Linked DNA regions of Bombyx mori. The protein of the gene in region 2 interacts with the protein of the main gene of each other region in a pairwise test. Links are inferred from orthologs where the notes say so. Each region holds a gene or a part of one and is shown on either strand. Other genes may lie near its edges. The genes, in order: protein farnesyltransferase/geranylgeranyltransferase type-1 subunit alpha and geranylgeranyltransferase type I beta subunit.

What was found.
Region 1: the proteins of geranylgeranyltransferase type I beta subunit (region 2) and protein farnesyltransferase/geranylgeranyltransferase type-1 subunit alpha interact in binary tests that used the Homo sapiens proteins (3 or more experiments, as listed by UniProt). The link is inferred for Bombyx mori from reciprocal best matches to the Homo sapiens genes PGGT1B and FNTA.

Annotation. Positions count from the first base shown.
Region 1 is NC_085129.1:8,199,143-8,203,564, reverse strand, and holds the start of protein farnesyltransferase/geranylgeranyltransferase type-1 subunit alpha, read left to right. Parts: upstream 1-1,499; 5' UTR 1,500-2,030; coding exon 2,031-2,160; intron 2,161-2,687; coding exon 2,688-2,811; intron 2,812-3,638; coding exon 3,639-3,729; intron 3,730-4,343; coding exon 4,344-4,422. UniProt on the Homo sapiens protein: Essential subunit of both the farnesyltransferase and the geranylgeranyltransferase complex.
Region 2 is NC_085127.1:5,040,596-5,045,065, forward strand, and holds the start of geranylgeranyltransferase type I beta subunit, read left to right. Parts: upstream 1-1,453; 5' UTR 1,454-1,910; coding exon 1,911-2,017; intron 2,018-3,389; coding exon 3,390-3,517; intron 3,518-4,470. UniProt on the Homo sapiens protein: Catalyzes the transfer of a geranyl-geranyl moiety from geranyl-geranyl pyrophosphate to a cysteine at the fourth position from the C-terminus of proteins having the C-terminal sequence Cys-aliphatic-aliphatic-X.

The DNA.
Region 1 (4,422 bases), on a different chromosome or scaffold from region 2:
ATAAAGCATTGAAAGATTCCTCGTTATTTGTTACCTGTTAGTTATTAACTTTATTTATTTACCTACATAATTACTTGAATAAAAGTGTGTTATTAAAAGTTGACTAGTTTTTTTCGGTTTAACGTGAACATTAAATCCGGAAAGGATTTAAATAAAAGCTTCGTGTCGGAAAGCGTATTTTTGTGGTAGGTCCTTTGGGCTGGTACCTACAGATAAGCTATCGACAATACTTATTATACTACGTTGCACATAATTTTAAAATTCAAAACCCTTACCACTGGTGGATTCCTTCGTAAGCATCGATGCCTAGAGCTATTTGTTTAAAATAAATTTTTTGAAGCTTTTAAAAATATATTTGTGATAGTAATTATAATTTTCATTTGAAGCATAGACCTTGGTACCTATTTACGCTACTTTTTGACTCTCGACAAAGAACGACATTTATAGCAAATTTGCCAGTAATAGAAAACATAATATGTTTTGTCCAATAACTAAAAGTCGGCACATGATTGCACAAAACGAAGCCGCAACATTAAATGACTATTATTTTTATGTCTCTGAGTTCATGCCAACTTAGTCCATGGCACCTATCCGTTGAGCTTCTCGCTGGATCTTAGTGGATTTTGGTTCCCTGGTACATCCACATAAGTGGCTACAAATTACAAAAAAAGGTCACAGGCGGGCGCATCACGATGCTCAGCAATGAAAGATCGACTGAAAGAGGAGGAGGAGGAAATCCACTCATAAAGCAGCTGCCAACACAAAGCCCTCTGGTAGTTGTCAAGAAAACCTACACACTTGGCTGAGCCTTTGAGTTCGTTTCATCTTAGTGAAGCTGAAAAGAACTTCGGGCCACTAATCCCACAATGCAAGCAAGGCCAGAAATGGTATTATTGTGGTAAAATGTAAATAGATCTATAATTTAAAGAGCAGTGATGATGGCAAAATCTATAAAACGCCACCTATCATGGTTCCTAATTTGAAGCCTTTGCACCTATTTTGAACATTCCTCTATTTTGTGGATAGTAGCCGAAATATTTATCTGCATGGGACGACCAAAAATATTTATTCAAAAAGGGAATGAACAGGAAGTCACTTGATGAAAGCAACTTGGATTTTTGTGTAGCAACGTTTTTATAAAATAGCAGTTATGTATCCTCTGTTTTAAAATAAAAAAATCTTAATAAGCTTCATTAGACTTTCTTTTTCACTGAAGATTACTTTATCATCAACTTTGAAAACCAAAACCAATGTCCATTTTTTTTATTGCCCTTGTAGGCAGACGAGCATACGGCCCACCTGATCGTGAATGGTTACCGTCGCCCATGGATTAGCAATGCCAGGGGCAGAGAAAAGCCGCTGCCTACCGATACAGCTCTTTGGTTAATTTTACTGTAAGTGCGTCACATGATGAATTCTTAAGACAAAATTTTAATTTTGCGAGTTAAGCCTTAAACTATTGTAAATTGTTATTTCACTAATTAGCTAATGATTCTATTCTTTATGAACACTGTAATATCATGCATTTTGCGGATTCAGTATTTTTTAATAGTCGTTTAAGCTTTATGTTTAATAGACGGCGCATTTCAAATTTAGAAAAATAATATACTGAAACTTGCGTGTTCAGCGACAATACCTTGTATGTAAATGTAAAAATTATGTGTACTTAATGTAACCTATTACCTATGATGTAAATGTAAAAAAAATACCTAACTATTGATTGTTATTTGACATAGTCTGTGTAAATTGTAAAAAGTGTGGACACGTACGTAGGTATTTAAATGTAAACATAAGTCAAATGAATTCAATTTGTAAATACCTAGTCAATAAACAGGGCATTAGTTAAAATTACGTCAATAAATACTAAAGATACGCTTTCGTATTCATAATGTTTCTGGCCTAGATAACTGGTACACATGTTTACTCACGTAAAGCTGTGTTTGTCACGTTTGATAAGAGTACTACTATAAGTGAAAATTGAAGACCGTGAAGACAAGCTTCATTTGTTTAATTTTACGAATTCACTCAGCATGTCTGATTGCGGGGACAGTGATGTTTTATGGATACCATACAAAGAAAGGCCGGAGTGGAGTGATGTTACGCCTGTTCCAGAGGATGACGGTCCCAACCCAGTGGTAGTTATAGCTCATTCGGAAAAATGTATGTGTAATGCCTGTTTTTTTCATTATTATTTCGTAACAAACAAGTTCAAAGTATAAAAATGAATAAATGCATTCGAAGGTTATTGAGTCAGTAATAGTTGGCATGACATATGGTATTGAAAATTAATGCAATACACAAAGGCAAATACCTATTAAGTGAAAGGTTAAATAATTTATTTAAGTTTATTATACATGAATGTGATAGATATATGTATATTTCGCAAATATGAATGTATAGTTCCATCAGTTCCTGCAATTTTACCGATAGAGATCACTGTGTGACTAGTTAAAGAGTGGACAAGTTAGATAGCACTTGATATCGTCTCTTTATGTTAATGTCAACATTCTTTCCAATTTTACCAGTATTACTTGGCTTTCCAGCTTAATCAAAATTCAATTGATTGTTTGTTGTTGCTAAAACAGATTTAAGTTTTATGCATACAGATAAGTGTACATTACCAAGAGTATACAGAGTAGATCGATTAATTTAAAGTTCATTTGTGTATTAATACTTTTCAATTTTAGTTGAGGATGTGTATGATTACTTCCGAGCAGTTTTACAAAGTAATGAAAAGTCAGAACGAGTACTTCATCTTACCAAGGATGCTTTGGAATTAAATCCAGCTAACTACACTGTTTGGCAATACAGGTATTTATTTATCTTCATACATTAAGGTTAACCAATATAGTGTGATTTGCTTGTGGCACAGCAAATTATTTCATTGCTATTATGATACTGAATTACATGGTTAAAGTCCAATTGTTGAGAAGCATGATAGTTGAGTGACATGTGTATATGGTTTTCATACACTTAATAATACTTCTAAGAAAAGGTGACACCAAAAACATTAAGGTTGCAACAAAGGTAAGTTATGAGAGAATTTTCATTGTTCTTATGAAAAACTAAAAACGAATCAAAGCAGCAATTCTAAGAATATATATATATACTTACATATTATTACTATAAAATAGATAATATTCAGTATTGTATTACAATATTTGGAATGCAATATGGAATGAACTCCGCTCCATGGTGTTTTCCGAGTGCTATGACATGTCGTTTTTCAAACGAGGCTTGCGGAGAGCAATGGTAAGCAGCGGCTTGGCTCTCCCCCTGGCATTGCTGACGCCCGTGAGCGACAGTGATCACTTTCCACCAGGTGGGCCGTATGCTCGTCTGCCTACAAAGGCAATAAAAAAAGAAAACATATTTTTATCGTCAATTTTGAAAGAATTAAAAATTAAATTATAAGTTTGTTTTAAATATTTAATGGTTTCGTTACAATGCTGTTTCTCTTATTAATTCTATTTTGTTTACATTATTACTGTATTAACAAATAATCCTGCAAAGTTTAATCTTTATTCATAGTGAAAAATTTTATTCAGAGCCATTTAAAGGTTAATTAAATTAACTAAGTGCGGTGGCAAGTTTTAGTTACAACATAAAGTAATAATACATGATATTTTGTTTTACAGGAGAGATTTGCTGAAACATTTGAACACTGACTTGAGGACAGAATTAGATTATGTTGAAGCGGTTATAAAGAATTCACCAAAGAATTATCAGGTATAATTATTATTAATTTTAATGACTAGTGAAAGATCACACATTTTTACATAATAAATAAAATAATCACCGTAGAAAACTGTTTTTTATAGAACAAGATGTGTGCTTGTGCTCATGACATACCTGGTATTAAATCTGCGCCAAAAACTGAAAGATGAATAAAATGCTAAGAAGCTTAGCTATCTGTGACATATTGCATATTGTCTAAAAAAGTATATTTCGCTGTTACATAAGCACAGAAAAATAGATGTTATTGCTTAATGTGAAATGTTAATACATGTGCTTTTGGCTACCTTATTTAACAATTATATTAATGATTGTAGGCTTTCATTGTTGGAAGTAAAGGTTTAAATGATTACTAAATCATATTAATGCAATGGAGTATTTGCAAGTCAGATATTACGAATATTTCTATAGAGATTGTTTAATTATTCCATCTGTTAATTTTTGTATGCATATTATATGTACAGTATCACACATATAATATTTTTACAAGTTTGCTGCAAAAACTAATTGTAATATCTTAACATGTGTGAAAGATTAGCATACAATTTTTCATGGCTAACATTTTCATGGTTCAATTTTTCATTTTCCATGGTTGACATGGCTTTCAGGTATGGCACCACCGTAGGGTTTTGGTAGAATGGCTGCAAGATCCCACAATGGAACTTGAATTGACAGGCGATGCACTTC
Region 2 (4,470 bases):
AATTTATCATGCTAAGAACATACAAAAATAATAATTAAAACGTTATTTATAGGATCTCAAGAAAGTCGATGCCCCAAAACTATTATCTATATATATTTAAATTCATTATGGAGCCCTCATCCGAAAAATCGGACACCATTTTTCGGTCGGAATCTATTGATCATGACACTAATCATAAATTCCTCTTTAAAATATGTCATCAAAACATATTTAGACATTCTGTTTAGATATTTCGGGAAAAAGGCTACCGACAAAATCTCTTCGGAACTATTTAAATAAAATAGTTTTATTCCGCAGTGAGTAAAACACTATTGTAAATTCGTTAAATATTTAATAATTAAGTTATTTTAGAGAGGAAGTCACAAGGAATGACGTTTTTAATAATGAATAAATGTTCTGTAGGTGTTTTTTTTTATCACGCGGTCCCTTGATAAGTTTAAAATTTGAATCACTCTCAAGTGAAAGTGATTCAAATGGTGCGGCGCACCTTCCTTGGGGTGCGCTGCGGTAGTGTGTTATGGACTTTAGAGTAAGCAAAACAATTAAAATAGATTGTAATAGTCTAAGAAAAACACGTACTCAAAATACGATAACATTTAGCATGCTAGAAATGGGCAGATGGCTTTGTACTACGCCATATCTTTATGTTTTGCGACAAACGACAACTTTATAAAATCAGTGTAGCAACTTTTAAAAATCATCATATCGTTTACTTGGCAAATTCGAAGGAGGAACTTGTCTTAGATTTCACCCATCTAAATCATATCATACTTGCACATAACAATATACCTACTTACTTCACATTAAAGTATAAATTCTACAAATAAATAATACTCAACAATATTTAAAATAAAATGAGCCAAGAACGTTTATCGATAAAACCTGATAGCATTGAAATCTTTTGTACAGCACTAAAACCGCCATGTTTTGGGGCCAGATGACGTCACAGTGGCACGAATTTTTGGTTGACGTTTCATTTCCATAGATTTCCTACTTCAGTGGTATCATTCAGTATCTCATATGGACTTTTTGGCGGGAAGGCGAGGAGTGAAGTTGTGTGATTTGTTTTATATTGTCTATTTAGTGTTTCTTCAGGTTTAAATGTGTAATAACGGTGGTTTATTAACTGTTTAATATCTGTGAAAGTGCACAAATGTGGGAAAATGAAACAAAGCCGCTGGACATAACTTCTCGGGATCCTCCAAACAGTCCACTGAAAAATCTCAGTAAATGACCACCATTTTTCTGAGATTATATTTCATCCCATATCATCTCGTCACTTAATTTCATCCCAGTTGATTAATGTCTCAAATTAATTATATTCATTGCATTTCACTCCATTTTATCATTTTTCATAAAAATAAGATTAAAAACTAAAATAAGACATGACTTAAAGGTCTTTGTAACCAGGTCATAAAATCCCTTAAAAAAAAAGTATCTCATATAGGCTTTGTTCCTTTTGCCAATTTATATAAAGAAAAAGTCAGTCATAGTCATAAATTAATTTTATATTCTGGTCGTCATAGTTTTGCCTGAGTTTCTCGGAAAACGACTGTACTGTATGCAGTTAAAGTCTAATTTTACTTTAAGCCTTTGTTGTTTAATTTCATTTGTTTTTATTTTCGACATTAAGCCATTGGAATAGTGATTATATTTGGATATTTAAGCAATTGTCATTGCTAGAATATGTCAGAGCAGTTGAGAGGTTGTGTGTCGGTTTACTTTTTGGATTTTTTGTCGTTTCTAAATTAAAGTTAAAAACAGTTCTACTAACTATTACAAATTATGAGATAAATTGTGTGCTTATTTTCTATATGTGAATCGAATTCATATTTATAAATAAGGATAAATTTTAATTAAAGTTACAATAATAAATTGTACTTAGAAGCCCAAAACATTAACGTACAATAATGAATAACGAAGGAAACAAGGATATGGCTCATCGTCAGCACGTAAAATATTTCATGAGATTTTTGAATATTTTGCCTTCGTCTCTATCATCACACGATACTACAAGGTAAGCTTTTAAAGTTGAAAAATTGAAAGTTGATTCCTGTGTTTTTAATTACCGAAATATTCACCTTGGCTGCAAAACTTTCACATTTCGAACGACTGATTACCGGTTTTATTTGAGCTTACTTATTTTCATTAGATCGTATCAAAAGAATATTCCTTAACATATATTACCACTCAAGATTTTATAAAATTCTTAGTGTAAATAAAAGCACAATATATAACAACAAAAAAAACACAATGTATGACTTCAACCAGAAAATTAGTAAATTAATTTTCAATTTCCATCCTCTAAATAAAAATTACTATCAACAATCCAATGTTTTTAATTGGAAATCAATTAAGCTTACCCCATTCAAATAGCTGAAGAAGTTTTTTGTTATGATATTTTTTTCCAAATTTTAAACTCACCTGTAGAGTTGCAAAAATATCACTTAACCCAAATTGCCTTTCACCTCTCGATATAATAATAGTTTATTTTATTTTGAGATAAAATTACATGGTAAAATAGCATACTGGAGCCATCCTTTTAACAGGAAAGACTGCTTGTGTCTCGAAACATATATATTTGATACAGTCTGGTACAATTATCAACACTGTAAAATCGGCACTGGATGTAGGATGTAACATGAGCCTGTAAGAATGTTTACCATCATGATTAGTTCAGCTGCCAAATAGTCATGGATTCTGGTTCAAACAGTTCTTCAGCTGTATTTAGCAAATATTTAGACTTCATGTCTCCAAATTACAGCATTTATGTGTCATGTTTACCAGAACTGAACTACATAACAACACTATTAATGTACTTAAACTTATTTCTGGACATGATTTCTTGCGTAGGAATTTTATTTTTAAAACAAGCTTACCTTTTATTGACCTCTGTTTCCATTGTTACCAGCTATCTGTTTATCATGTTTACATGTTATCTTAAATTAGGGTAGTGTAAAATAATAGTATATTTATATTATGAGTGAGTTTATATTATGAGCATATTTATAAATGGTCTATGTTAATGTGGCAACAATGGATCTGCAATGTCCATCACAAATGCTCTAATCCACCAGGTTCGCAGTATTTTCCAATCCCAACCATAGGCTAGATTTACTAACATTTTAAATAATACTTAAATAAATATATGAAATAAAATAAATATAAGCTTAAATAAAATATAAGCTTTATAAGTTAACAACTTTATGAGATTTCTATATTCTGAAATAAAAACCTACTATTATTGAAAATAATTATTTATTGAAAAGAAAATCTCTAATTTTGTTCCTTTTTTTTTCCATCTTTTATTTAGTTCCATCTTATTTATATTTCTGAATATGAATGATTGGTAGAAAATTGTGTTGAAAAATATTTTTTCTTCATTTCAGAGTTACAATAGCATATTTCTCTGTTGCCGGCCTGGATGTCTTAGGATCCATATCAGCAATATCTCTTGATCTGAGATCCAGGATTATTGAATGGTTGTATAGGCTTCAAGTACATCCTGATAAGGAAAGTAAGTGATTTATTCATTTTAATTTTCTAAAATCAATTCTAAAATTCATACAATTTATGACAAGTTTAGTGTTTTCAAGAAGTTTTATTGTACAACAGGATGCTTGAAGTGTTAGGTGAAACCTAAAAGTATTTATAATAAGGAGATTATGTCTTAATTTAATTTTGGTGCAGATGCAAAATTTTCTATAAATAAATCATGTATCAAATTGTACACAATCAAATTTTTCACATTTTTGTGTTAATATCTTTCAATGATTGCTTTGTTGAATTCATTGCCTTATATATAAATGAGGTTGTAACAGTAGGGGAGCAGTTCACTCCAAAAAAAATTGATTTAGAAAAAAGATTAGAAGAATAAGTCACACGAAAGTGGAACTAACACAAAAGGCGTCGTGGCCTAAAGGATAAGTCGTCCGGTTCATTCATATCGATCGATGTGAATGTGCCGGTGTTCGAATCCGGCAGGCAGGTACCAATTTTTTCGCGCGGATCGGCGTGGTTGGTAGTCGACTATCGCCTCGATGAACCATCGGTCAGGGGTGTCAGGGGTGGGACCGCGATTCTCGTTGTTGTGTTGACCGCAGGAACTCACCTACTCTGACCGGGTTCTGACCCCGGGCGGAGATTAGACGTCAGGTGTAAGAGTGCAAGGGGAGTCATTTGATGCGGTAGGATCCCAAAAATATCCTTGGGCCCGCGGTCTGCTCCCAACATCTGCATGCTGTCAAGACCCGCATACCCTGCTTGGGGCAACCCTAGGCGCGGATACCTCCTAAGAGGTTCGGCCCCCTACTCGAAAAACAAAGGTTGTCTTGTGATTCCGCATGGGTAGGTAGCCTAAACCTTTCCTATTACTGCCTCCAAGCAGGTTGAAAGTTGTGTCAGCCATTGTATTAAAGAACTGTGACTTAGAATGTTTGACTCAAGGTTTGACTCGCGGCATTTACGTTG